Sus scrofa: one gene and its partners. The protein of the gene in region 5 binds, or shares a complex with, the protein of the main gene of each other region. Links are inferred from orthologs where the notes say so. Each region holds a gene or a part of one and is shown on either strand. Other genes may lie near its edges. The genes, in order: PHF20, KANSL2, WDR5, THAP3, OGT, THAP1 and ZNF831.

The links.
Region 1: OGT (region 5) and PHF20 share a complex: the UniProt entries of both Homo sapiens proteins name them as parts of the NSL complex. The link is inferred for Sus scrofa from reciprocal best matches to the Homo sapiens genes OGT and PHF20.
Region 2: OGT (region 5) and KANSL2 share a complex: the UniProt entries of both Homo sapiens proteins name them as parts of the NSL complex. The link is inferred for Sus scrofa from reciprocal best matches to the Homo sapiens genes OGT and KANSL2.
Region 3: OGT (region 5) and WDR5 share a complex: the UniProt entries of both Homo sapiens proteins name them as parts of the NSL complex. The link is inferred for Sus scrofa from reciprocal best matches to the Homo sapiens genes OGT and WDR5.
Region 4: OGT (region 5) and THAP3 share a complex: the UniProt entries of both Homo sapiens proteins name them as parts of the THAP1/THAP3-HCFC1-OGT complex. The link is inferred for Sus scrofa from reciprocal best matches to the Homo sapiens genes OGT and THAP3.
Region 6: OGT (region 5) and THAP1 share a complex: the UniProt entries of both Homo sapiens proteins name them as parts of the THAP1/THAP3-HCFC1-OGT complex. The link is inferred for Sus scrofa from reciprocal best matches to the Homo sapiens genes OGT and THAP1.
Region 7: the proteins of OGT (region 5) and ZNF831 are in contact, whole or in part, in a crystal structure (PDB 8FUF), measured with the Homo sapiens proteins. The link is inferred for Sus scrofa from reciprocal best matches to the Homo sapiens genes OGT and ZNF831. Residues at the interface, in NP_858058.1 of Homo sapiens: Phe723, Ile734, Met779, Ile787, Ile790, Asn791, Arg792, Gly793, Leu808, Ala809, Thr831, Arg832, Ser833, Gln834, Tyr835, Gly836, Leu837, Pro838, Glu839, Arg877; in NP_001371283.1 of Homo sapiens: Phe937, Ser938, Pro939, Lys940, Tyr941, Leu942, Leu943, Arg944, Leu945, Pro946.

Annotation. Positions count from the first base shown.
Region 1 is NC_010459.5:39,165,819-39,169,331, reverse strand, and holds part of PHF20 (PHD finger protein 20), read right to left. Parts: intron 1,647-3,513; coding exon 1,533-1,646; intron 554-1,532; coding exon 365-553; intron 1-364. UniProt on the Homo sapiens protein: Methyllysine-binding protein, component of the MOF histone acetyltransferase protein complex.
Region 2 is NC_010447.5:79,302,764-79,307,038, forward strand, and holds the start of KANSL2 (KAT8 regulatory NSL complex subunit 2), read right to left. Parts: upstream 2,806-4,275; 5' UTR 2,760-2,805; intron 2,383-2,759; exon of another isoform or gene 2,358-2,382; intron 2,188-2,357; 5' UTR 2,180-2,187; coding exon 1,929-2,179; intron 512-1,928; coding exon 333-511; intron 1-332. UniProt on the Homo sapiens protein: Non-catalytic component of the NSL histone acetyltransferase complex, a multiprotein complex that mediates histone H4 acetylation at 'Lys-5'- and 'Lys-8' (H4K5ac and H4K8ac) at transcription start sites and promotes transcription initiation.
Region 3 is NC_010443.5:273,573,661-273,577,062, forward strand, and holds the end of WDR5 (WD repeat-containing protein 5), read left to right. Parts: exon of another isoform or gene 1-643; coding exon 644-677; intron 678-846; coding exon 847-921; exon of another isoform or gene 922-1,314; coding exon 1,315-1,402; intron 1,403-2,506; coding exon 2,507-2,607; 3' UTR 2,608-2,895; downstream 2,896-3,402.
Region 4 is NC_010448.4:67,455,261-67,458,773, forward strand, and holds part of THAP3 (THAP domain-containing protein 3), read left to right. Parts: intron 1-3; exon of another isoform or gene 4-83; coding exon of another isoform or gene 84-157; intron 158-173; exon of another isoform or gene 174-580; coding exon of another isoform or gene 581-597; intron 598-2,897; coding exon 2,898-3,090; intron 3,091-3,513. UniProt on the Homo sapiens protein: Component of a THAP1/THAP3-HCFC1-OGT complex that is required for the regulation of the transcriptional activity of RRM1.
Region 5 is NC_010461.5:57,519,768-57,523,903, reverse strand, and holds the start of OGT (UDP-N-acetylglucosamine--peptide N-acetylglucosaminyltransferase 110 kDa subunit), read right to left. Parts: upstream 2,807-4,136; 5' UTR 2,658-2,806; exon of another isoform or gene 2,562-2,657; 5' UTR 2,553-2,561; coding exon 2,516-2,552; intron 1-2,515. UniProt on the Homo sapiens protein: Catalyzes the transfer of a single N-acetylglucosamine from UDP-GlcNAc to a serine or threonine residue in cytoplasmic and nuclear proteins resulting in their modification with a beta-linked N-acetylglucosamine (O-GlcNAc).
Region 6 is NC_010459.5:11,770,515-11,774,664, reverse strand, and holds the start of THAP1 (THAP domain-containing protein 1), read left to right. Parts: upstream 1-1,343; 5' UTR 1,344-2,274; coding exon 2,275-2,345; intron 2,346-4,150. UniProt on the Homo sapiens protein: DNA-binding transcription regulator that regulates endothelial cell proliferation and G1/S cell-cycle progression.
Region 7 is NC_010459.5:59,275,746-59,280,043, reverse strand, and holds the start of ZNF831 (zinc finger protein 831), read right to left. Parts: upstream 2,803-4,298; 5' UTR 2,399-2,802; intron 1-2,398.

The DNA of each region.
Region 1 (3,513 bases), on a different chromosome or scaffold from region 5:
GGTTGAGGGTTCGATCCCTGGCCTTGCTCAGTGGGTTAAGGATCCGGCGTTACCATGAGCTGTGGTGTAGGTCGCAGATGCGGGTCGGATCCTGTATTGCTGTGACTCTGGCGTAGGCCGGCAGCCCCAGCTCCAATGGGACCCCTAGCCTGGGAACCATCATACGCCACGGGAGCGGCCCTAGAAAAAAGCAAAAACACAAAAAAAAGAAAAAAGAAAGAAAGAAAGAAGGCAGCCAATTCATTAACTTGATTTCAAGACCATCTAAAACTTGTATGAAGCTACTGCAATGCTTGGTTTAGATTGGTTCGCAACAGAGAGGCATCAGGTTGGCAAGACCAATCCAGAATAGACTCTGACTCACCTTTTTCAGATTCCTTGGTACCGGTTGATGTGTTTTGCAAAGTATCGGTATTAATCGTATCAACCAAATCTGATACAACCAAGTCAGGGTCTAGGATCTCATGGGTCCCATTAGTGGACAGCCTGGAGGACCGTCTCCTTGATAAGTCTTTGTCAGTGTTTTCCGAGTAGTTTTTTGACTTTTCCTGGGCTATAAACCATTAAGAGAGTTGTAGTCAAGAAACCCGAAGAAATAACTCTGCTACTACAGATTTCTGGACCAGGTGCCTCTATAAAGGCTTTACAGAGGGACTTTAGAATATCAGATCTGTGATGAAAGGAAATACCCTATCCTGCTTTATAATTTTAAGTAAAGTGAAAAGGCCCAGTCTTTCTGCCAGGATATAATTTTCCTAACTTAATGGATTCATGATCTGAAAATACGTGCCAAGGTCACATCCCCATCTTGACAAATTCTGTTTTGGGGCTTTCCAACATAAAAGTCTATGATGAATTTCCCAAGTTACTAAGATTTACAGAGCCTTAGAGCCATCACAAATCTTTTTTGAAGCCAAAAGGGTATTTTTTTTTAAAAAAATCAATAAATCATTTTTTGTTTTTTGCTTTTCAGGGCCGCACCCACAGCATATGGAAGTTCCTGGGCTAGGGGTTGAATAAGAGCTACAGCTGCTGGCCTACACCACATCCACAGCCACGCCAGAACCAAGCCAGCCATGTCTGTGACCTACACTACAGCTCACGGCAACACTGGATCCTTAACCCACTGAGTGAGGCCAGAGATCAAACCCGCATCCTCATGGATCCTAGTCAGGTTCGTTAACCGCTGAGCCACGAAGGGAACTCCCTAAATTGTATTTTTAAAGTTTCACTTGGCATATGATATCCATCCCTTCCTAAAACATTAAATTTCTAGTAGAATGCAAATCAAATGTAGTTTATGGGTATGGAGATTACATCCCTGAACCCAACATTGATACAGCTTGTGCTCTGGGATTTATTTTTCCTTGAACAAAACTCCTCTGATCCAACCACATCCCACTCACATCTGTTCCTGTGATCAAGGACAACAAGCATCAGAGCCTATAAGGAATGAGTGACATCCTGGATATAGGGGAACTAACACAATGACTGTCAAATTCTAATCACACAGACACAAACTGAGAACTCACATGAATTTTTGTCAAGCCGAGGACGTTTTATGGGGACTTCACTTCCTTTTGATATTTTCCGTCTTCTCAGTTCCAACGTTATTGGTTGCAAAGTTTGACTGTTTGAATCCACAGCTACAATGTATATAAAACCATACAAAAAAAGGTATGTAATTTCTTAGTGACCAATCTTCACATTATATATAAATAAAACATACATATATATATATATACACACACACACATCCTTGTTTGATAAATAAGCTCTCAAAGGGTATTTTTACTTAAGCTAAAAAGAAAAAAAGATGAGAATTTTTTTTTTTTTTTGTCTTTTTGTCTTTTCTAGGGCCATACCCTCCGCATCTGGAGGTTCCCAGGCTAGGGGTCTAATTGGAGCCGTGGCCGCTGGCCTATACCAGAACCACAGCAATGCCGGATCCAAGCCACATCTGCAACCTACATCACAGCTCATGGCAACAGATCCTTAACCCACTGAGAGAGGCCAGGGATTGAACCCACAACCTCATGGTTCCTAGTCGGATTTGTTAACCACTGAGCCTTGACGGGAACTCCAAGAAATTTTTTTCTTATAGGAGATGCTGATACCTACAGACCGACCTCCTGAATTTTTTTGGTCTCTCATATGACCCAGCTCTAGTCATAATACTTATCTCCTGAAACCCTCTCTTTAAATATCCCATGACTGCTTTAAAATATGAAGGTGGAGTTCCTTTGTGGCAAAAGTTCAACCCCTGGCCCAGGAGCTTCCAAATGATGCAAGCACAGACCAAAAAATAAATTAATTAAAAATAAAATAAAAGATGAGAATAGAGGAAGTTCCCTTGTGGCTCAGCAGGTTAAGAATATAGCATTGCCGCAGCCTTGGGTCACAGCTGCAGTGAAGGCCTGGCCTGGGAATTTGATCCCTGGCCTGGGAATTTCTGCATGCCACAGGCAGAGCCAAAAAGAAAAGAATAAATTTTTTTTAAATATACGAGGATGGAAGGGCAACAGAAAAGCCATTTTTTATCACCATCAAATCTTCTCACCAAAATATAGCTTATCCAGTACTCAGGAAATCCATCATGCTGGCTAATTCTTAAAAGGTGTACCCTGGGACTATGGCTTGATTATTATTTTCAACCTCTACTTCTAAATTGGTTAGCTTGGCATTGGTCCTCGTTTTGAGGACCTTTTGAAAACAACTCCAGAAAAAAACTCAGGAGTCTATGCTATTTGTTAGTCAGTGTTCCTGGCAAGGGTGCTTATCACCAGCAAATCCAGCCCTGATATAATTTAGCAGTTCAGAAGCTAAACCTTTATACAGTGCTCACTCCTTATTTTTAAACCTAACACTTAAGAAGCTCTCCCCCTCCATGGAGGTTCCACGTGGCTCAGCAGGTTAAGGATCCAGCATTGTCACTGCAATGAAGTGGTTCCCTGCTGTGGCCTAGGTTCAGTTCCTGGCTTGGGAACTTCCACCTGCCACAGGGGTGGCCAAAAAAAAAAAAAAAGAAAGAAAGAAAGAAAGCAGCTCTCTCCCTTTGGGAAAGATGAAAATCCAAAAGGCTAAGAAATAAAACAAAAGAAATTGGGAAGCATGAGGGAAAGGTAGGGCTAGGGGGTCTGATGAAGGTTGAAGAGACAGAAAGAAGCAGCAAGGAGAAAGAAGAGGGAGGAAAGGAAGCAAGTGGGTGGGAAAGAGGAAAGAGAAGGCTCCGAGACCAGTAGCTTCAGATCTGCCATGTCAAACGGCCAAAGAAGGCAGGGCTGAGCTCTGAGGAGGCAAACCTGATGAGAAAGCTAAACTCCTTGGCTCTTCCTGCATTCAATCGTCCCAATGTGCCAACATTATTTTGTTCCAAGGGTGGGAACTTGGAGATCACACACATTCCAAATTAAACACAAACAACCTTCCCTAAATAGCTCATATCCTGTTCCAATAAGGTCTGCACAATCTAGAGAGCTCAAGGCTCCACTGTGTCAATGAACTTATTTCAAG
Region 2 (4,275 bases), on a different chromosome or scaffold from region 5:
AAACATTAATGAATTAACTATGCTCTCAAAACAGAAAGGCCAACTCAAAATGATTGTTTCCTGAATTACCTTACCTAACAAAGATGTTAAGTGTAAAAACAGCAATGAAGGAAGCAGTCATAAACTCAAGAAAGTAAACCTAAGCAGATACTACTTAAAACCAGAAAGATTAGTGAACAACACGGCATTCCTGAATTCTCACCAAAGGGCAAATGAATTAACAATAATACTATTTTTATCAAGTGCCAAATATGTTCAAGGCACTGTGCTAAACCAAATTATATTTTTTGTTAACTTTCTTCCTATTTTCTCACCCTAAAGAAGTTTCTTACCCAAAATTCGGCTGGCTTCACTTCGGCTACTTTCTGGAGTCTGAGACCCCAGCTCTGTCTTAGCATATGAGCTCAGCTGGCACAAGAGTGTTTCACCCACAGGCCCTGGATTCGTCTTCTTCATTTGAGCATGAAGTGCTAGAGCATTCCTACGGGCATGTTCAGCACAGAAGGACACCCTAAGGAGATAAAATATTCACGTTTATACTCAGGTTCCTTCCTGAAGGAGTTCAGTGATTTTTAGAGACACTGATCATTAGATTATTTTCAGGAAACTAAAATGACCATTGTCTTCATTTATAAATTAAAAATGTCAATGAGGCAAAATAAATTAACTGGCCCAAGACCAACTCATTTGGTATTACTAAAGGGAAATGCAGGTAACAAAACCTAGTGCTCTACCCATTAAACAAAACATTCCAACTATAAAAACGCTGACATTTCACAACATCATCAGAGATCCACTTCCATCTTTCAAACTGGTTCTGGGAGCTCCCATCGTGGCGCAGCAGAAACTAATCCAACCAGGAACTGGAGGTTTCAGGTTTGATCCCTGGCCTTGCTCAGTGGGTTAAGGATCTGGTGTTGCCACGAGCTGTGGTGTAGGTCAAGACAAGGCTCGGATCCTGAGTTGCTGTGGTTGTGGTATAGGCCGGCAGCTGTAGCTCCATTAGACCCCTAGCCTGGGAACCTCCATATACCATGGGCGCAGTCCTAAAAAGACAAGGGGGAGAAAAAAAAAAAAAAAAAAAAAAGCCTGGTTCTGGAAGGCAACTCTACATTTTACTTCAGTATCAATCCACTGTAGGTAAAAGGATATGAGACACAATTTTAAAATCAAAAGATACAGACAGAATTATCTATGTTCTGCATGGATACTTTTGCTTAATTGATGAAAACCATTAAGTCTTTCCAAGAAGAATACACACACATAAAACGTGCATGGCCAAAAGAGCCATGCAACCTAAGGTTAAGAATAACCCAGAGGGAGTTCCCCTTGTGGCTCCGGTAACAAACCCAACTAGTATCTATGAGGAAGTGTGCTAATCCCTGGCCCCGCACAGTGGATTAAGGATCCAGCATTGCTGTGAGCTGAGGTGTAGGTTGCAGAGATATGGCATGGCTGTGGACCTCTAGTCTAGGAACTTCCATATGCCTCAAGTGCGGCCCAAAAAGGAAAAAGAAAAAAAGAAAAATCTAGAGTGTCCCTTTATTTTACAGGTACCAGAAAAGATCCAAAGACATTTAACGAAGTGGCCCAACTGAGAGTGGTCTCCTTCCAGTTTTCACCATTTTAAAAAGTTCTCCAAGGATATATCCATAACCTCAATGTTACAAGCATGTGACCAAAGAACTGGCCAGCTATTTCCCAGCCCACATCACTTAAAATCTAAAAGAACAGAAGTTCCCTGTACTTTTGTGGCAGGCTGCAGGTTAAGGATCCCGCGTTGTCACCACAGCAGCTGGGGTCGCTGCTGTGATGCTGGTTCCATCCCCGGGCCAAGAACTTCCACATGTCATGGACATGCCCCCAAAAAACAAAAACAAAAACCCACAATGAAAAACATAAAAGTACAGATATCTATACATATATACCCGTCTTTCTTCTCAGGCTTCGGAGCAGCACAAGGACATCTTTTTCCATTCTTTGTGGATATATAACTGCACTGCTTGAAAGGTGCATTCTTGTCTTCAAGGATATGCTTAATGCAAAACTCCTGCCCCTCCAGACGAGGCTGCGAGCATGGGCGATGAGTAAACGAACAAGACAAGGGCTCCTGAGACCTGGGCACTGGGGTGATCCTTCCCCGATTGGTCGGCAAGACGTGGATCCGAATCCTGTTCATACCAAAACCTGCAGGGTCACACAAAAGATCAAAAAGCCCTTCCCGAAAATTCCTGCCCCACAGTAACCAGGCAGACGGCGCGTGGCTTCTAAAAGACAAGCGGAAGTCACGCTCCTTAACTCCCTCCGCCCAGGTCTCCCAGCCCAAGCCTCCCCGGGCATTAGTGAATTTGCCTCACCTCAACTTCCCCCGCCAAGGCCGCCCCACGCCGACCACCACCACGGAGACTGTACGGCCGCCGCACGAGGGGGCCGCGCCACCGCCCGCACGAGGGGCCGCGCCACCGCCGCACGAGGGGCCGCGCCCGCGCCCCCACCCCCGTCTCCGCCTCCCGGCTCGCCGCCTTTGTCCCGGTCCGCCTGAGACCTCACGCCTGGGCCCTGCCCATCCTTGGCGGCGCCTGCAAGCGCCATTTTGTCCTAAGTCTCCGAGCACCGGAGAACCCAAGTCCTGGGAGATTATAAGAGGAGAGCGACCCTGACGTTGATTGAGGGAGCAGGGTAGCAGCTCTGAATGGGGAGAAAGGGCGAAGTAGTACCCCGAAGGCAAAGGCGAAGAGCAAGCAACGCCGCCATCTTACCTCCGCCGCGCGCCGCGCTGCTGCCTTCTGGCCGCGCCAGCCGCTTCTAACGCGGCCCCATTCCTTTCCCGGCTCCCACTCGCTGATTGGGCACGACGCCTACGCCTGTGCGTCACCATTGGCTGAGGCCAGCTACCTATCAAGTCTTAGGGGGCGGGGCGCTAAGAAAAGGCGCGGCTTGGGTGGCTGAGAAGAGCTGTCCGTCATCAACTTGCTCATGAAAGTGAGGCGGAGCTGAGTGCGGGCTCGGGGACCCGCTAGCAGCGCACGGTTTGTCTTTCCACCTCCCCGCATGGCTGATTTTCAGGTCGATTATGGCCGCTTTATCTGTGCACTAGGCCGCAGCTACACCACCACCGTTACACGGTAGGCACAAAATCGACAGGGAGGCCAAAGGATCGTGGTACATTTGACTCTTACTGTTTATACAGTAAAAGGCTTAGTTTTGTGAAAAGTTAATTTACGGAAACATTTTTTGAGTATTTACTGAGTCTGGAAAATTATGTATATAAACATTTCTTTTCAGAACAGTCCTAAAAAGTAGAAGCTATAATCTCCATTTTACAGATAAGATAACAGAGGAACAGAATAGGCTCGTATCTAGTAAACAGGGAATGGAGACAAATTTGAACCAGCCCTCATTCCTTTATTTTTTTTTTTTTTAATACTATTTCTGCCGCACCCGTGGTATATGGAAGTTGGTTGGCCAGGGAATCAAATCTGAACCAGAGCGTCTACCTACATCACAGCTGTAGCAACGCTGAATCCTTAACCCACTGTGCCAGGCTGGAATCACAGGCACCTGCAACAGAGACAAGCCAGATCACTAACCCACTGCTCTATAGCAGGAACTCCACGAACCATTCCCTCATTCTTTATCCCTTTATTCCTGGTCATACAGTGAAAGGCATTGGACTGAGACTTGGTAAATATGAGTTATGGTTGAGGCCTTGATTCTCTAAAATTCTGTACAATACCAAGCTAAATCATGCAGGTATATAGAAAAGGCAGGCACAATTCCAATTTTATCGTCCTTTAAGGCTTTTTAATTAAAGCATCTCTTCTTTCATCTCCACCACACCTCTGGCAGAAATAAAACAATTTGGGATCTTTTTTGCATCCCAAGCTTCACAAGCTCTCCTAGCTGTTGTCAGTTTCATTTAAGTAAGCTATTTTTCCACTACCAATGAGCAGGTGAGCATAGGGAATCTACAATGCTGGGGAACAGCAGTTTAGATAAAAAGAAGTGATTAAAACCAAAATAGGGGAGGGCTTAGAGGTGACTTTTCCCAGGGATTAGGGCAGTCCTAGAAGGCCCTTGCATGAGATTTGTTCATTCAGCAAATATTTACTGAGCACCTAAGTGCCAGCCAGTACAGATATAGAGAGAACAAGAAAGATAATCCTGCTCTTTTGGAGTAAACATTCTAGAGTAGTTTGGGATTACGGATGCAATACAACCATTAAATAGCAACTATGAGTTATATACATATGCTAACCCTCCCAACCCTCATTG
Region 3 (3,402 bases), on a different chromosome or scaffold from region 5:
TTACCAGGGCCATCGCCCCAGGGCCAGGATCCCAGAAAGACACCCGCTCCAGTGCCCGCACGGAGCCTGCTGGGTGCAGGCTGCTGATGTAGGCACCCTGCTGGGATGGTGGGCATGGCGGCCTCCCGGTGCTGCCCGCTCTGCCCGGGCGCCCTGCTCCTAACACGCTTCGGGTGGGTGTCCCGGCCGTCCACTGCCCTCCTGGAGGCGGCTGGCGCTCGGCCTCCCCGGGCACTGTGGGAGCCCTCGGGTGGGCTCACAGGGTCGGCCCCCACAGGAGGAGGAAGGACTGTCCGCCGAGGTCTGTTCTGGACGTGTCCGCAATGGGGCTTCCTGAGCCCTTTTCTCGCAGGGACGTGGACCCCTTCCCGGCTCGGGGAACGCTTAGTAGCTTCCTTTAACCAAGCCTCTTGGGGAGTTAACGTGTGGCTCGACAGGTTAAGGACTTGGCACTGCAGTAGCTCAGGTTCGATCCCTGGCCCAGGAATTTGCACACGCCTCGGCCGAGGCCAAGTGAAAAACAGTGTCTTGGGGTTCCCGCGCTCTGCTCCCAGGTGTCCTTGCTCTGTGGACCCTGGGCTGGGCGCGGGCACCGGAGAGGGTGGGTCCTCGGGGGCTCGGCTGACACGCCCTCTCCCCGCAGCACGCTGAAGCTCTGGGACTACAGCAAAGGGAAGGTGAGCGCCGGGACGGGCTGGCGGAGGGTCGTGCTGGGGCTGGGGCCGGGGCCACGGCTGGGCCGGGGTGGGTTGTGCTCAGAGCGGCTCCGTTGGCTGAAAGGTACCTGGATGGGTTACCCCGGGGTGCAGGGGGGCGCCACTGAGCGGACGGGCCCTGCTGTTTCAGTGTCTGAAGACGTACACCGGCCACAAGAATGAGAAGTACTGCATATTCGCGAATTTCTCTGTCACTGGCGGGAAGGTGAGTCATGTCCCTGCTGGGGGTTCTCCCCGGCCCCTCTGGGGCGCTTTTTAACCCAGTGCAGCCCCGCTGGTGGCATCCTCAGCGGGCCTTCCCATTGCGTCCTCTTCAGGGCCACAGGCTCCTTTGCGATGCCGAGGGTGTCAGCACCTTCTGGGAGTCAGGGACCCTGGCAGGCTCTGGCGTCTGGTCCCCGGGGCTCCCCGCCTCTCAGGCTCAGGCTGCGGGGGAGATGGTGACGGCAGCCCTGATTGGAGCAAACAGTTTATGTCCTAGAAGTGGCGGGTGCTGGTGCGGCATCGGGACAGGAGATGGGCGGAGACCCACACGGGGAGGGGTGCTGGTACTGCTGGTCCCCAGGCACGCGCCTGACACCCTCCCGCCCCGTGACAGTGGATCGTGTCGGGCTCGGAGGACAACTTGGTTTACATCTGGAACCTGCAGACGAAAGAGATTGTGCAGAAGCTGCAGGGCCACACGGGTGAGCTCTCCCCCACGGAGGGACCAGGTCCTGTGAGCATCCTCCTGCCTCTGCTCCTCGGCCCCCTGGGAGCCGGGGGCTCTGTTTGGAGCTGTGGGTCTGAGCGCCCGCAGGCCGAGCCCGAGTGTGGCTTTAACCTCTCCTCCGGCCCTTGACGTCCTTGTGGGCCCTGTGGTCTGTCCCCGTGGAGATGGTACAGGGACCCGGGCTGCCTGCCGTCTGCTCTGCCGGCTGGCTCCTTTCCAGGCTCTGACCTCCTGCCCGCTCCTGTCCCCTGTGTGGAGTACCTGGGCAGCCCCTAAGCCCCCCCCCCCGCCCTCCCCACTCCTGCTCAGTGCAGAGTGGTGTCCAGCCGTGGAGAGTCTGATGAGAGTGTGCGACTCTGCCTAAGGAAGCCACGCCACTGCCTGAGGTCCTGGCCTGAGCTTGGAGGTCCGTGCTGGCCTTCAGCTTCCGCACCTGGCCTGTTGCTTCTGCCCTGCTGTGGGCAGGATGCTCAGGCTTATTTGAAACCACTCAGGCAAGAGGGAAGATTCTGGGGTTCAGTTGTCTTTTTAGGGCCGCACCTGCGGCATATGGCGTTCCCAGGGTAGGGGCTGAATCAGAGCTGCAGCTGCTGGCCTCCTCCACAGCCACAGCAATGCCAGGGATCAAACCTGCGCCCTCATGGATACCAGTCAAATTTCTTTCCGCTGAGCCATGATGGGAGCTCCCAAGGGGCTGAGTTAATTTCAGAGCTGCAAAGTGTTAACCTGACGGACCCCAGGCGCCAGCCCCGGGGGTGAACTTGCAGCGCAGCCCTGCGGGCGTCCTCTGCTCCGCGGCGGGGAGCGCGTGGGTGCGCCGGTTTGGGTCCCGGTGCAGAGGGCGCGATGTCGATGCCGTGAGACGGACCCCGGCTGTGCCTCTGGCTTGTGAGGGGCCCCAGTCTCTGGGCTCGGCGCTGGGCAGCCTCCGGGCCCAGGCCGGTGCTGAGCACCTCGCGGCCCACTGTCCAGGCCTGGTGACCTGAGCTCTGGGCTCGGACGCCCTGGGGCGGGGCAGGGCTGCGGGGCGGGGCCACGGGGCGGGGCCGCGGAGGGACCGTGGTGCCTCTGCTTTCAGACGTGGTCATCTCGACGGCCTGCCACCCCACAGAGAACATCATCGCCTCGGCCGCGCTGGAGAACGACAAGACCATCAAGCTCTGGAAGAGCGACTGCTAGGCCCGCGGGCGCGGGGCTGTCGGGACGCCCAGCCGGGCTGGCGAGAGCTCGGTGCTCGAGGGGCTCCCTGGTCCAGGCCTGGGGACTGGAGGCGCCTGGGCCTGCGCCGCCTCCGAGGACGGCTTGGCCGAGGGCCGTGTCCTCCGCAGAGGTTCTCGGAGCTGCCGGTGGCGATTCTTGCCAATGCCTGTCTTGTTGGCTGGGGAAGAGTTAGAGTCTGTATTGTGTTCGGAGGCCACAGAAATTTCTAATTTTTTATTACAAAAGGTGAAGTTCAATTTATCACGAGTTGTGTTTTTTTCCAGTAACTGTTCTGTGCATTTTATCACCCAGTGCAAGTGCTGGACCAGTCGCCACCACGGTGTGTGGGCGCCAGCCTCGCCCACCCGGCCTCAGAGGGGCCCCCTCGTGGGTCCAGTGACCTCTCTGGGGACCCCCACCCGGTGTTGGTCCTGCCCGCGCTCGAAAGCAGCGTGTCTGCAGCGTGTCTGCCCACGTGCCTTTGGCATCGGGGCCGTTGTCCCCGTGCTGCCAGCGTGGGGGTCACCCTGGGCGCTTCTGTTTGTCCCTCTGGTGGTCACACGCAGGCAGCGCCCCAGCGGTGATAAAGGTGGCAGCCTGGGCGAGTGGCCGCCGGGTTCTCACACAGAGCTTTGCTCGCTCTTTTGTGGAAAGCCTCGCGGTCGGCAGGAGGTTGAGAGGACGCCTCTCAAAAGACAGGTCCGAGGGATGCGCCACTCCTTGTCCACGCGGGCTCGAGGGCCCCTGCAGGCTGGTGGCCTGTGGATGTGGGGG
Region 4 (3,513 bases), on a different chromosome or scaffold from region 5:
CGCCCCACGCGGTGGCCCCGCCGCGCCCCGCAGGCCCCGCCGCCGCCATCTTTGTTGGGGGCAGCAGGGCCGGGCGTCTGGAGATGCCGAAGTCGTGCGCTGCCCGGCAGTGTTGCAACCGCTACAGCAGTCGCAGGAAGCAGCTCACCTTCCACCGGTGAGGGGCGGGGACTCCGGGGGACTCCGGGACTCGCCTCGCCCGGGCCGCCCGGCCGCGGCCCCCGCCGGAGCCCCAGGCCTGGAGCGCCGGGGCCCTGCCGGGCCACCAGGGAGGCCCGAGGGCGTGCGGCCGAGCCCTTCGCGCAGCGGTGGCGGCCCCGGGACCAGGAGGTCCCGGGCCAGGAAGTCTGGCACCGCCTCGGCCGCCGGGGCGCGCGGGGAGGCGGTCTGAGAGGCTGGGGCACCTGCCCAAGGGCGCGCCGCCTCCCGCCGGTCGGGGGAGCCCGGGGCTGGGGGTGCCGCCCCGCCCAGCGCCCCCGCAGTTGGGCGTGCGTCCCCTCCGCGGCCCGGCGGTTTTCTCTCATTCTCAGATGCAGCCCGGAACGTGGTAGGGGTGCAGTGTTGGCTGCATGAATGAGAGATGCCGATGTCTCTCAGGTGTGCGGTGCGCGGGGCGCTCGCCTCTCCTGGCCTCTGGTCGGGAGGGAAGGGTAGGGTGGAGGAAGGAGCACTTTCCGGGGGGTGGGGGCGCGGGGCCGGGACGCGCGGCCTTTCCCGGACCCCGGGAGGATGGCGGGGCTTTGGAGTCTGTCCCTTTGCGGGTGCCAGGCCCGCCGCGGGAACGCGGCCCCCCCCCCCCCGATCAGGTGCTGCACGCCTTCTTCAAGGTTCCAGCCCCGGCCCCTTCCCCTGCCCCGTTCAGAGCGGGAGTCCACGGGGCTGCCGCGCTCCTCGTCTCCTCTTTCCTCCTGTTAGCGTTTGCTGTTTCAAGGCGAGGATATAACACGCATACAGAAAAGTGCACCGGCCCTAAGCACGTAGCGCAACCGGCTTAACAAAGTGAGCCCCCTGCGGCTGCCCTGAGCTGGGCTTCGCAGCCCCACCCCCTCCAGCCCTTCGCTCTCCCGCCCCCTCAGGGGTGAGGCTCTGCTGCCTGTGTCCCAGGGGCCTGCTTTGGCCTGCTGGGAACCTCACCGGAGTGGAATACCAGGCTGCACTTTCTCTTGCTCAGGGTTGTACTTGAGGGTCACCCGCAGCGGCTCGTCCTTTTCATTGCTGCGCGGTGTTCCTGGAGTGTATTTTCCAGGGTTAACTGTCCTGCAGCTGAAGGGCCTTTGGTCCCTGTGATTTTTTGGCCATTATGAGCACATGGCTCTGGGCACTTTTGCTGGGACTTGTCTCCCAGCTCTTGTGTGTGTGGGTGTCAGGTGTGTCCCTGGGGGTGGCGTTGCCTGGGGTCTCTCTCCCATTCCTGTCACTCTTGTCCCCACCCCTCCCACAAAAGCGCTCTAAGTCCCCCGTGGCCCTTATGGTGCTCAGTGCAGTGGTCCATCTTCATCTGAATGGACCTCTGCAGCCTCTGACGTGACTGACCGCTGACTGCTTGAGATCCTCTCCCTTTGGCTTCTAGGACACCTCTCAGCTGCTTTGTTTGTCACAGGGTCCCTTCTCAGTCTGGCTGGATTGTCCTCATTTCAGCACTTGATGGAGCGCTTCAGGGCCAGAGCTTGCCTCTGGTTCGTCCCTGTCCCTACTCGCTTCCTAGGGCACCCATCTCACCTGGACTTACTGCTCTGCCACCCTCTACCCGGGGACTGCCACAGCGATACCCCCAGGCACGCATGCTACCTTATCACTCACCTTCAGCACTTGGATATCTAAAAGTCACCTTGGGGAGTTCCCTTGTGGCTTAGTGGGTTAAGGACCCAGCATTGTCACTGCAGTGGCTCAGGTCACTGCTGTGCTACAGGGTTTTTTTTTTTTTTTTTTTGTCTTTTTTACCATTTCTTGGGCCGCTCCCGCGGCATATGGAAGTTCCCAGGCTAGGGGTCTAATCGGAGCTGTAGCTGCCAGCCTACGCCAGAGCCACAGCAACGCAGGATTCGAGCCGCATCTGCGACCTACACCACAACTCACGGCAACGCCGGAACGTTAACCCACTGAGCAAGGGCAGGGATCGAACCTGCAATCTCATGGTTCCTAGTTGGCTTTGTTAACCACTGCACCACGGAGGGAACTCCTCACCTTAGGTTTAATATCTAAAATATAAAACCAAGCTTCTAACCCCCCCAAAGCTCCCCTCCGCCTAATCTTAGTAAGTGAAATTCCTTCCTTCTCTGTTTCACGGCCCACGGGCAAACCTTATTACATGACTTTGAAAATAGATCCCAGGTCTGCCTGCTCCTGCTGATGCCCTGATCCCAGCCACCAGGTGCCTGGGTGGCTGCAGCAGCCAGGGTGGACTCAGTCTGTCACCCTCTGCCAGAGCCTCCGGGAACCCCCTTCTGCTCCAGGCCCAAGTCCTCGAGTCCTCCTCTTGCTCTGTCTCAGCCACACCTGCCCCTGACTGCTCCTCACACACGCAGGCGCGTCTCATACCCGCACAGCTCGCTGTCCCAGTTCTTGCAGCTCTCCCTGCTCCCGTGTCACCTCTCAGGTGGTCGTCCCTGACCACTTACAGCAGCACAGTCTGTGTTTGCTGTATTGCCTGTCCCCCTGTTCTAGAAAGTAGCGTCATGGCCACGCCCCCAGGGAACGGACGGCCAGGCAAATGCGGCTCCAGAACATGGCTCTTTGGCCACGTTCATGGTCTCAGGCTTCCTGCTACAGATGCTGTACCTGCCGTTACAGAAGCTTCCTGAATGGATGGGGTTTAGAGGATGGGGCTACCCCATTTCCCAGGCTGTGGTGCTGCCTTCAGCCTCTCGAACCCCTGTCACGTCTTCGCTGTGCCCCAGGTTCCCGTTCAGCCGCCCAGAGCTGCTAAAGGAATGGGTGCTGAACATCGGCCGAGGCGACTTCGAGCCCAAGCAGCACACGGTCATCTGCTCGGAGCACTTCCGCCCCGAGTGCTTCAGCGCCTTTGGGAACCGCAAGAACCTGAAGCACAACGCGGTGCCCACGGAGTTCACCTTCCAGGGGCCCCCGCAGGTGCGCCCGGTGGGGGGTGGGCGTGCGGGTCCGGGGCGGGGACAGCAGCCCGGGAAGTCCTGTCAGTCCTTGAGGGAATCCACAGCTTAAAGCTGCTTTCTTTATTTCTGGTTCATTTTGTGTATCTTTTTGATTGGTTGGTTGGGTTTTGGCTGTATCTGTGGATGTGGAAGTGCCCGGGCCAGTGATGGAACCCGTGCCACAGCAGTGACGTGAACCACAGCAGTGACAATACTGGATCCTGAACCCTGTTGAGCCACCAGGGAACACCAACGCTGCTTTAAAAATAAACCACAGTCTATCAACTATACTTTAACATGACCTAAAAAAAAGAATGGGGAGTTCCTGTCGTGGTGCAGTGGTTAACGAATCCGACTAGGAACCATGTGGGTTCGGTCCCTGCCCTTGCTCAGTGGGTTAACG
Region 5 (4,136 bases):
TTAACATACAGAAACAAAGTATAAAACATGTGATTTGCAAGGTCACATAGAGTTAATGTCAGAATAACCTACTGGGAAACTTAACACTTTGTCCCTTGTTTTAGGTTGGATTTGTGGGGGATGGGGTACTGGTAACAATCTATCTCTTAACCTGGGTGGGGACAGCAAATGCGTGTTTTACTCTTAAAATTATACTGTTTTTTGTTACTTCACAACTTAATTTTTTAATTATTTTAAGGGCGACACTAGAAACAAACATAAGGGGAAAAAAAACTAAAAGTCAAGGTGCTATTTTTAAAACAGCTGATAAACAAAATGGATTCATCTGTCAAGAGCCAAAATATTAAAGGGGTCATCAAACATTTTAAATAAAGACCCAAGGTTATATTGTTCCTCTACCACCCCCAACTCACACTGAGACCAATTTAGCTAAATCCCACCCACACTGGTTTAACACCAGCATTTTCCAAAAAGCTCTGGTGCTGACTAAAGGATTAAGACATTGCAAACAACCTTGTATAAACCAAGCAGTTACTTAGAACTGCAATGATTTTTTTTTAAAGAATGGGAAAACGATAAAATATAAAACCATTTGATAAAGTGCGACAGGATGAATAATAAATGAAAGCACTTTGCTGTGTGTAAGTGACTTGGTTTAGATACATAAAGATAAGGGGTGTACAGCTAAAGCCCAGAGAGGGAAAACAACAACAAGCTGCCTAAGACTCAATTGTAAATACTTAAAACAATGATACATTACTGGGAATCTGACCACAGCACTTTCCCTAGATAGAGTGGGAAACCATGTACAAATTATATAAAATTCTACCAAGGTCTATGTAACAAGCTCAAATTTGAGCCTAGACCCCCCAATCGTTAGAGCTGAGGAGTGAACTGTATTCTCAGGAAAGCTAAGTAAATTCCCTAAGAGGATGCACAGCCAGCTGACCACTAACATAAGAGAGACCTGCATCCAAATCTAGGGGACGTTATATCTCTAATAGAAACTAAAAAATCACTAGACAAGCCTCTAGAACTTCCGAGCTCCTTATTTTAACACATTACTTTATCAATTTTTCAAAGCCGCTTATCTGCTATTTTAACACTGGAAATGACAACTTCCTCAAATAAAATAACACGTAGAAAAGGGCAAGCTAGTACAGAAGAATCTAGGACAGAATCTTAAATCTTTAAAAATCCCTGAGAGGGAGGGGAACACTAATTATTAATCCCACTACCTACGATCATGGATGAGACACAATTGAAGATTCACTTCTTACTGCACAATGTCCAAAAACAATTAAAAAAAAAAACCCTGACACATCTCAACTGAGGGAACCAACCAAAAAATAATAATAATAATAACCTCGTGGGAAACCTTAGAACCGCAGCCCGGTCCCCCCCCCCCCGCTCCAAATAGCCTCAATATGGAAAGGCAGACGAAGGACACTCCTGTAATTTGGTTGTTTTCTTATTTTTAGTACCAAATGCTCTCGACTAATTGTCTGAAAGGGCAACCGCCTTGCTCTTGTGCAGCTACACTCCAGTTGCTTTACAAACTCTTCAAGCGGGGATGAAAACTTAAAAAAAATACACCCCCTATGAATAAAGAAATACCGGGCTAAAGAATGGGGATGAAAGACCCAGAGGCGGCGGCGGAGGAATACAGGGAGAAAGTAACACAAAGCGAGAATCGGGCGGGCAGGGTGGTCAACGCCAAAGCCCCGGCACCAGGGTGGTTTCTCCCCAAGGGTAGGAAGTGGACCGCAAGGCTGGCAACCTCGCGAAGGAAAGGGTGTGGTTCCCCGCGGGAGGGGAGGGAGGTGGACAGGGTGGGAAATCCAGGCTGGGGGCAGCGGGTGGAATCGGACGATGGCAAAAGGAACCCCTGGAAATTTCCAATCGAAACCGGGGCCGCTCGCTCAACCGAAAGCCCGGCAGAAAGGCGCTGCCCGGCGGGGCACTGCTCAAAAGCCCCTGGGCTCGAGATTACTCGGAGCACACCCAGGAGCCTGGGCTCGTCCTTGGGTGATGCAAAGTGAGGATACGATTACATCGGACCGGCACCCCCGCCCTCGATTGACAGAGGAGCACCAAATTGGGCTAAGGGGAGCAGGGTGGAGGAGGAAGAGGAGGGGGCGGTGAGCTGAATTAAGGGAGAAAACGACTGCCAAGGAGAGTGAAAGGCAGCGAGAAGGACAGGGATTCCAATGCAGTCCATTCCGAGACATTCTAAGCGCGCACGTGTGAAAAGAAGCGTCCCGAGAGAGTAGAAGGCTAGCAAATGTATAGGATTACAAAGCAAGAAAGGAAGCGAAAAGCCAGCAAGCAAGAGGAAATGTTTGAAGAACGGACGACAGCGGAAACCCCGATCAGATGCCGGCAGACGACGAAAAGCTCAGCGATGCCACTGATGTAATGGGGATGGCTAGAGGGAAGGAAGGGAGTGATGAGAGGCAGAGGACGGCGCGAGACCCCAAGGGGGCGTCTGCCAAGGTAGAAGGGACACCGGTACCTGTGCTGTCGGCCACGTTGCCCACGGAAGACGCCATCTGGAGCTTCTTTAGGAAAAGCGAGAAAAGGGTAATTGAGTCCCGCTGCCGCCACTACTGGCAAGAATGTTTCTAGAGGTAGTAGTAAGAGGGCAGCAGCCGTACCAGTGCTTTGGCAGGCTTAAGAGGCGGCAACAGTTACAGGCTTCGAACCTTAAGAACTCTGGTTGGCCATCTACCTCTCACGGTCTTGAAATGGCGGCGACGGCTCCTCGGCCGAAACAACACGGGCCGGAACTACTTTCTGTTACAATCAAGTACCAGCGCGGAAGTAGCGCGGTAACCAGCGCAACCAACAAAATGACTATAATCAAAGTCACTTGCTCCTATGTAACCTTCCGCGCAGGGCCCATTGCGACAAACACGATTGTGTCGAGAGCGCATGCGAGCAACCCTGTCAACCCGACCCGGTTAGGGCACTGTCTGGGGCGGGAGCGTCCAAGTTTTCTACTAGCGGAGCGGAAGGGTAAAAAGAAACGTATACACAGGACGGATACATTTTTGCCGAAGTGGGGAAGTCTAGTCTATTACCGAGCCAGGAATGTAGATTTTTAAGAGATGCCAAAGGCGTCTAGAAAAGTTTCATCAACTTTAGTCGTACGGAAAGGAAGAGTTACAAGGCTGTTGAATCAATTCTAAGTAAATTTAAATGGCTAGATTTCCAAGGCTGACGTTTAAAACGGTGGCAGAGAGGGTTTCAATTTGAATACGTCTTAGTTCTGATTCCAGCCATTGATTTAAACACTTTGATGAAAAAGTTTCACAGGGCCAAATGAACCCAAGAATCTCACGTTTTGGCCATATAGCCCGAAATTTCCAAAACCTTTTGGTATTCAGGATAGTTCTACCCAGAGAATTCCGTAGGGCAAATGCTTCATAACTCAGGGACTCGCTGAGAGTTTGCACTCCAAAGCAGCAGCCATAAAAATGTTAAAGATGATTCATATTCATCAAAATCCACGACTCTCTTCTGAATTGTGATTTCATTTCCACCACATAGCTTTGCAAATCGTTACAAACGGTGATAGCATTTAGCTCAAGGCAGCTCAACAATGATAAATGGATTCATTTGCCATCTACCTAAACCACACATGCAGATTGAAACTAAATTGCCTCTACTTCCTTGAACAAATCAGTTCTATATGATCCTCCTGCAGTTTCAAGTCCACTGTTTAGACATTTTGTCACATTGGTATTAATTTATATCTCTTGTTCCAGAAAGGATTTAAGGTAGCTTGCCACATTCACAAGAAATTATTATAAACCAATGGAGGCAACAAGTTGCATCTCTCAGAGCCTCTTTTATTAATTTAAAAAAAAAGTCCTTGATCTAAGAAAACAAGTCAGTGAATTTCTTCAAAACATTTCTACTACCTAGCCATCTGACCACACTAAAAAAAAAAAAAATCCTCAAATTTTGCTTCAATTCCTTCAAGACAGTTCACAAACTGTTAATTATAGATATGAGCACCGAGGAAATTTGTAGTATTGATCATTTCTTCCATCACATCCATAATTGAAAGTCAGATGCTGTGAAAAAGGCAAAGTTCACTACACAAACTCTCCTAGAAAATGTGCACCAAC
Region 6 (4,150 bases), on a different chromosome or scaffold from region 5:
GATATCTTTATCTTAATTTTTTTTTTCTCCTTTTAGGGCCTCACCCGCAGCATATGTAGGTTCCCAGGCTAGGGAACTAATCGGAGCTGTAGCTGCTAGCCACGGCCACAGCAATTGGGATCCGAGAAACACGTGAGGTAGACCACAGCAACCGGGTCTCAACCCATTGAAACCCGAGTCCTCACGGATACTAGTCGGGTTTGTTAACCACTGAGCCAGGAGGGAGGGGGAACTCCTTCCTCATTCCTTTTTTTTTCGTCTTTTTAGGGCCACTAATGGCCACACTCGAGGCATGCGGAGGTTCCCGGGCTAGGGGGTCTAATCGGGGCTAGAGCTTGCCCGCCCTGCACCACAGGTACAGCACCGCCATTTCCGAGCCGCGTATGCGAACTACACCACAGGTCACCGCAACTCCGGATCCTTAACCTGCTGAGCAGGACAGGGATCCAACCTGCAACCTCATGGTTCCTAGTCGGATTCGTTTCCACTTGCGCCACAGTGGGAACTCTGTGTCTTCCTCATTCTTGTTTCCACTACCAGCAAGCCCTGGTGTTTCTACCTGTTAGCATAGGCATCTACTCCTTGGTCCAAAGTTGCCAATCTCCTGTCTGCTTGCAACAGCCTCTTAATTGGTCTGCTCTTATTAATTGGTCTGCTCACTCACTGTTGCCCCTCCCTGATAAATTCTTGGCATAATAGCCAGAATGACCTTTTATTTTTTTATTTTTTAGTCTTTTGCTGTTGTTGTTGCTATTTCTTGGGCCGCTCCCGCGCATATGGAGGTTCCCAGGCTAGGGGTCGAATCGGAGCTGTAGCCACCGGCCTACGCCAGAGCCACTGCAACTCGGGATCCGAGCCGCGTCTGCAACCTACACCACAGCTCACGGCAACGCCGGATCGTTAACCCACTGAGTGGGGGCAGGGATCGAACCCGCAACCTCATGGTTCCTAGTCGGATTCGTTAACCACTGCGCCACGACGGGAACTCCCCAGAATGGCCTTTTAAAAACGTTTATTAGATCATGTCTCTCCCCGCCTAAAATGGCTCAGCGGCTTCACGCTGCAGTATGCCCCCACCCACTCACTGGGCTCTGCCATTGCAGGCCCCATTCAGTTCCTAGAAGACAGACCTTTTTACTGCCTCCAGGCCTTAGCACGCACTTCTTGTGGCAGAAACCCTCTCCCCCCGACCCGTTGTTTGGTTCTCAGATTTAACATTCCCTTCTCAGAGAGTAGGCAGTGACCCTCTCCTTACTACCCTCATCTCGGCATTCTAATGTATTCAGGCACCTGAGCACACTGTGATTTTATTTACATTTTTATTGTCTGTTTCCCCTTACTAGGACTTAAGCTACGAAGACTGGGCCTATGCTAGTCTTGCTCACCAATTAAAAAAAAAGAAATTATGAGCCATGAGATTACTCAACAGCCCGTTATCGACACAGACGAAAGGAGCCGGCCAAAAGGGCTGCAGCTGTTGGCGAGTCCCAACACGGCACCTGGAGATCATTAAGATAACTGCAGCATTAGTGAGAGAAGCCCCTAGAGACTGGGCTCGCGGTGTGTGCAGGTGCGGGCTTTCCTGGCTAAACTCTTCACCTGGGCTCCGCAAAGCCTCAGAATACCTGAAGCAGGTAAGAGAGGTTAGCGGGCCGGGAAGGGAGTCCACCAAGTTTTACACATCACGCCATCTGGGACCGCCCTTTTAGAGAAACAAGGCAATTATGCAACGACCTCAGCTTTACACCTGTCCTGCTTCAGGCCAGCAGACCCAATAGACGGTAGAGTGCCGCGAATCTGAACCGCCCAGCATAAGTAACCCCAAGCAGCACCGCCGGGGCGGAATCGGTCCTGCGCTCCCACCCCCCTCTCCCAGGTAATTACTCCTTCCTTCCGGAAGCTCGGAGGCCCCGCCCACTTCCGCAACGCTCAGTCCGCCGCGCGGCGGGACTCAGCCAATGGCCTGCTTCCCAAGAAACGTTACCTCTGACCTCAGGGCTAATCAAGAGACAGTAGGACTAACGCCTCGCGAGAGGTGAGGTTGAAGCTGTCTCCGCCATCTTGGAGACGGGAGACGGGCGATGGCTGTGGTCCTTCTGCTAATGCAAACAACAAAACGGACACATTAGTCGCTCCCGAGTGAGCCTCTCGTCATTGTAACTGTTGACCAAAGCTACGGAAGAAGAGAGGGTGTCAAAGTCGAGCGCGACGACATTGATAGCAGCCTCAACTGCCTGCTGGGGCGGCAGAAGTGAAGTAACCAGGACCGGAAGGATGGTGCAGTCCTGTTCCGCCTACGGCTGCAAGAACCGATATGACAAGGACAAGCCCGTTTCTTTCCACAAGTAAGTATCCTGAGCGCCTCCTGGGCCTCGCAGGGGCTGGGGGCGCGCGGCCCTGCTCGGGGGCGGGGCCAGGCGCGTGTCCGCGCGAGACCTAGTGGGAGGGGCGGGGCGCCGTCTGGCGCTGGGACGGGGAGCGGTGGGCGTGCCCCTGGCGTCACCCGCGGCGCTCCGCCCCGGGATGCGCGTTCTCGGTTGCGTCGCCGCGGAGGCTGTTCCTCGCGCTCCAGTTTCTAGCGGAGCTCAGGGTAGCTAGTTCGCGGCCCACCCACGAAGCCTAGAATTCCCGTGAGTCGTGGGGTGTCCAGACCGAGAGGCAGCTGGGTCTCACCACCAGGGTCGTAGAGAAGCCAGGTAGTAATGCCACTTTAGCCGTAAAGTTGAAGAGGAAACAGCCGGGAAGTCACGAACTTTGATCCCCTGCGGTGGGGGGAGTCCAGCATCACAGCATTTAGGCATTGACGTGGGCGGGATTTCAGGGAGGATGTTTTGGACTCTGCTCCTGAGGACTGCTGAGTTTTAGAGAGAGCTCCAGGCTGAGCACACTATGTTAACGGGCAGTAGTGGTACACTGTGCATGATAAAATCAGCCGGGCTGTCACGGACCTGGAAGAAGCCCTCGGAGGGGGACACGTTCCCAGTTCTAGGGCCGGTTTCACCTTAGAGGTCCTAGGAGGAAACAGGTCTCTCCAAAGAAAGCCGAAAAGTAGAGTGACAATGATAATCCGATGTCTGCACGATGGCATTTTCATTCAGCCAAATTCTATATTTACAGATGTTATCACATAAAAAGTGTTTTGCAATAATCTCAACCGTAAATGGATGATAGCTAAAGAAATAAAAGCCAGTGATAAATTATACGATTTATAGCGAAATAATTTCAAGAGCAAAATCTTAAGTATTCCTTCAGTTTGGAGGGTGGGGCCTTTTATGTTTAACAGGGAATGTGGATACATTTTTGTACATTTGGTGTAACACTAGAGAGCTGAGGGAGCATAGAGAAATCTTGAGAGTGTTGCTGTTTCCCTTCTAAGGGGAGAAACACAACACTTCCAGATTCATTTGAGGGGGTGATATCTTAATATTACTCTTGATTTATTAGAATTTCTGAAAGCTGATGGATTGGCCTCCAGTACTTTCAAAGTCAAGGGAGTAGGTCTGGAGGTGGTGACACCATCGCAGGCTGTTCAGCTACCCACCTTCCAATTTTTTTTTTTTTTCCTTCGTCTTTTTAAGGACTGTTCCAGCTGCACATGGAAGTTCCCAGGCTAGGGGTGGAATTGGAGCTGCAGCTGCTGGCCTACGCCACAGCCACAGCAATGCCAGATTCAAGCCACATCTGTGACCTACACCACAGCTCATGGCAACGCCAGATCCTTAACCCACTGAGCGAGGCCAGGGATCGAACCCGCACTTCATGGTTCCTGGTCAGATTTGTTTCGGCTGCACCACAACGGGAATTCTAGTTATAGGATTTTAAAGCAAGTACATTTTTTAATTTAATCACTGCACCAGTACTGGGAGAATATGGAAGTTTCTGGGCCAGGGATTGAATCCGAGCTGTGGCTGTGATCTACACCGCAGCTGTGCAATGCTGGATCGATAACCCACTGTACCACAGCAGGAACTCCAAAACAAGTCCATTTTTAACAAACTAAGGTAATAAAGGCACAACTAAAAACTGTCCCCCAAAAATGAGCAAAGTTAGCATTTTCATCAAATACTCATTGGTGTGTTAACACCAGTATAAGCTAGTTCCTTCCAAAGCAGGAAAGTCTGGATGTGCCCTTTTTTGGAATAAGGTTAGA
Region 7 (4,298 bases), on a different chromosome or scaffold from region 5:
TTACAAAGCAGCAAAGGGACGCCAGGTTCTTGGCACCAGGGGAAGCTTTCTCTTGATTTTCTAGTGGCAGCCCCTGGTGGGGTCTCAGACACACTGACCTGGAAGGGGCCAGAGATTCTCGTTCCCAACAGAGAGCCCACCCACTGGCTCATCCATCACCTCTTCTGGCCGAAAACAGCTGTTTGCCACCCAGATCCACCCAACGCTGGCTGCTGAAGAGGCCCCGCAAGAGGCTGTGACCAGCCATGCTCAGGGAGTGTGGTGTGGTCGAGGGCGGCACTCGCCCAGACACACGCAGCAGAGATGGGTGGGCCCGGGACCCCTGAGTCGGCGGTCAGGGAAGAAGGATCGACCCCAACCTCTTGGCAAAACGCCCAAGGTCAGGGCCCCGCTGGCTTACACACTCTCGGGGGCCTGACCTTCTTCCCTGAGAACTTGGGAAATCCAAAGATGGCAATGCTTCCAGAGGACCTGAAGAGTGGCTTGGCCAGGGGTCATCAGAGACCGCCTCTGTGTCTCTCTGGTCAGCAGAGAGGCCAGCCACGTGTCCTGGGGACTCAATGGGTTGTCCATGCTCCTGCGTTGGACGGACCCACCATGAATGAACTTGACAAGGACCACACATAGGTCTCAACACATGGCTCTGGAAGCCAAGTTGTCAGTGGCTGGGTCTGACTACAGGATCGGGGTGGGGGGGCGGATATTCTGATTAACTTAAGGGAGTATGAGGGGTGTCCTTCCAGTTAGGGGCCGTGATGTCATCACACTTTCTCTCCGACCTAATAACTGTCGCCAATGTCCAGAAGCAGCCATCCCACCGCTCAGCTGCCGCGTGGCCTTCCGTTCCTCACTCCCGCTTGGCGCCCCAGCTGGCTGTTACCCTGCTATTGCCTGGGAGACCGCGGCACCGTGCTCATAACATCTCCTGCGTTTACACCGCTCTTCCGATGCACAGCCCGGGCCGTGAAGGATGAACAGGCGTGATCGGGGTAATGAACCCCAGACACGATTCCAGCCGACATCTGATCAACCCCAGCCCCGTAACTAGTTCCTGCTAGACTATCGCACTTTGTCCAAACCTGTTTCGGAAATATGCTTTGTCAACATCCCCCACTCGGGGAGTCAGCAGCCCCGTTCTTGTTCTTGTTCGTGGTGGTAGAGTGGGCCCCCAAACCCTGATCCAACCTCTTTTTTCCCAATTTCAGCTTTGCACAGCCTTTCCTTTTTGGAAAACAAAGCGCAACAATGGCAGCTCTCCCTTGGCCAGTGGCCAGCCAGCCAAGGGCTGGAGCCAGGAGATTAACGGATACACCCGGAGAGGGCCAGGTCAGAGAGCAGAACATTCTGGACACACGTTTGTGTTGGAGACCAGACCCTGAGGCCCGCGAGCCCCGCACGTGAAGGTCAACACCTCCTGGTTTGAAGGACAGGCTGAGGCCCTTCAGAACCTGTGGATGAAACACGCCTATGACATTAATTAATGCCAGGCAAAATGTAACAGCAGATCTTGGCAACTAAAAATAGACCTGTGCCATCTGATTCATCCCCTGACTGCACAGAACTCGGAGCTCCTTCACCGGCCTCTCTGCTCCCCGCGCGCCGCTTCCCGGCCTCGCCCTCGGCCTCCATCTTTGATCCTCTCCTCCCGCCCAGCCAGCGCCTTGAACCTGCCGGCGGCAGCGGCGGCGGCGGCGGCGGCGGCCCGGCTCGGCTCCCCTCCGACCACGGGCAGGCTTCATGGGCCGGGGGAGCGTTTCTTTTCCTGGCTCACATGGTGGCGAGCCACGCAGTCTGGCCTCAGTCCTGCCCGTGCGGGCGTCTCTGCCGTTGCATCACACACACAGCTCCACGGCTTCGGGGCCGTTCCAGCCCCTTCTATTTTAAACTTTGTTGATTTCTCCTGGGAAGGAAGCCTATTTCATACAGATTAGCTGGACAGCTGGGTCGGACTGCTTCTGATTACCGGGCTTGGGGCCACTGGGGAAGCAGGTTTCCCAAAGCCCCTTGGACGGAGACGCGTTCCATAGGGTCCCCAAGGACGCGGTGCGGGGTCAGCGCTCGCTCGAGGGAGGAAGGTCAGCGGCCCCAGTTGGAAATCAACAGGTCAAGCCCAAGGCAGGGTCAGACCTCCGTCTGCATGGCAGGCTCGGGAGGAAGGCTGTGCGGAGCGGTGGAGGAGGGGGCACGGGAAGCCCCCTGCTTCCAGAGCTCGCGCGGGGCCCTAAGTGGGGGCTTGTGTCAGAAACCAGGGCGTGTGCTGGGGAGGAAGCATCCATCATGCTTGCCTGAGATAATCACTCGGGAGGCGACAGACAAGGCTCAATGATTCAGGTCCCTTCATCTGGCCTTGCCTCCCAGACCTCCAGGAGCACAAAGACATCACAAAGACCGCTCTCACCTTGACGTGGTCAGTCCACAGGCAGGTGGGGGCTGCCGCGCTCTCCTGCAAACCGGTGGCTCCGACGAGGCAGGAGCTCTCTCCCTGCACGTCCCATCTCTGCCTTTGCTGCTCTCTATGCTTCTCTAGAGGAAACCGAGGGCTGGCATTTGTTTTAATTGTGTGAGTGGAGGGTGGGGGGTGTCGGGGGTGCCCAGGCGGTGTGGGGCGGTGAAGGGACACGGGGGGAGTGTGCAGCCTGCCCTGGTGTGGGTTCGGGTTGAATGGCCGACGCCCGGGAGATGGTTTGCCTGCTGGAGCTCCGTGTGCTGCAGCTCTGTGTGTGGGCGGCGGCAGCTACACGGCTGGGTTTCAAACCATTACATTGAACATTTGCAAACAGATAAAAAAACAAAACCATCCGGTACGAATGGAAACTTGTTTGCCTCTCTCTCTCTCTCTCTCTGCGCTCTCTCCCTTCCACCCCCCACTTGGGTTTCGGAGGAGGTGGGTGAGGGTGGGCATCGCCTGCTTGGCGCTCCCCCAGCCCCATCTCTTCCAGCCATGCCACCCAGCCCCACGGCCACGAGCACGGACAGGTGGGTCAGGTCCTGGACATCAACCCCCTCGGCGTGGGGGATCCCCAGACATTTGAGAAGGATTTTTCTCTTCCCCGGGGTCTTGCCCAAATTCCAGCCAGAGCGCCATTACGCCCAAGGAGGACCTGGGTGTCCACACCTGGCCATCTCTTATCCTTCCTAGTTTCGAAGCTACCTTAGACCTGGCCAGCGAAGAGGGGTGAAGCACACTCTCATACCTGACGAGACTTCCCAAGGCATTCTTTCCGAATGGTTGCGTGAGATACTCCATAAAAAGGGAGGGGAAAAAAGTCCTCTGGTCAAATTTCTTTGGGAACTGTTGCATCCTGTATTGCTCTGGGATAGTTCAGTGTTCAGGCGAAGGCTCTGAGAAGTTCTGCAAAAGAGGATCCTACTAAACTTTGTTTAATCCAACATTTCCAAAATGTGTAGATTTTAGGTGAAAGAATCCTCTCTGCGCACCAGTGACATCACCCACACACATTCATACCTGCCTCCTTTCCCTCCCCCACCCCCCCCCACCCCCAGCGGTGGCCTGACCCACATCTACATTTTCAGGCAGAGAGCAGGAGGGGACAGGCAAAGAGAGATACTGGGAGCCAGGTAGGTCAAAGGTCGCCATCTTAGGCTACACTGGACTTGTTATTAACTCAGGAGCCCCAGGTGGTTAGCAGTGAACTTGAGACTGTGGTTCTGGCTGGACAGGGAACATGAGGGAAGCAGATGATCCCTCAGGGCCCCGGGGTGGAGGGGAGGGGGGGTTGTCAGTGCACCTTCTCTTCCACCCCAAGGGGGTCCCTGGTCACCTCTGCAGCCCACGGAGGGGAGCAGCCTGTGGCTGGGTGCTGACCCAGGCTGGTGCAAGAGTCCTCTGTTGCCCTGTCCAGACCTCCACTGGGCACTGTACAGATCAGGTGACAGGTCTGATCCTGGACAGCATGAGACAGCAGGCAGAGGAATGGAAGCATGAAACATGTGAACTCTGAGAGAGGCATCCGTGTCAGAAAGGGCCTTTGTACAACTATAAATGTAATAAAATTCATTGAGTAATTTAAAAAAAAAATGAAAACAAATCTATTTCTCCAACATCTCTCTCATAAACTCAAAATGGATTAAAAAAAAGAAAGAAAGAAAAAGAAAAGAAAGAGCCATGATGGAAGGGCACGCAGGAGGTTGGGCTGGGTTGGGGGTGCGCTCTGCTAGATTTGGGGGCCACTCTGGCTCATCAGAGTCCGCAGACCCCAGCACTACAGCTCACCACCAGTGGAGTCTTGGCCCAGCTCTGTGAGCCTTAGCCACCTCATCTGAAAAGGTTCTCAACC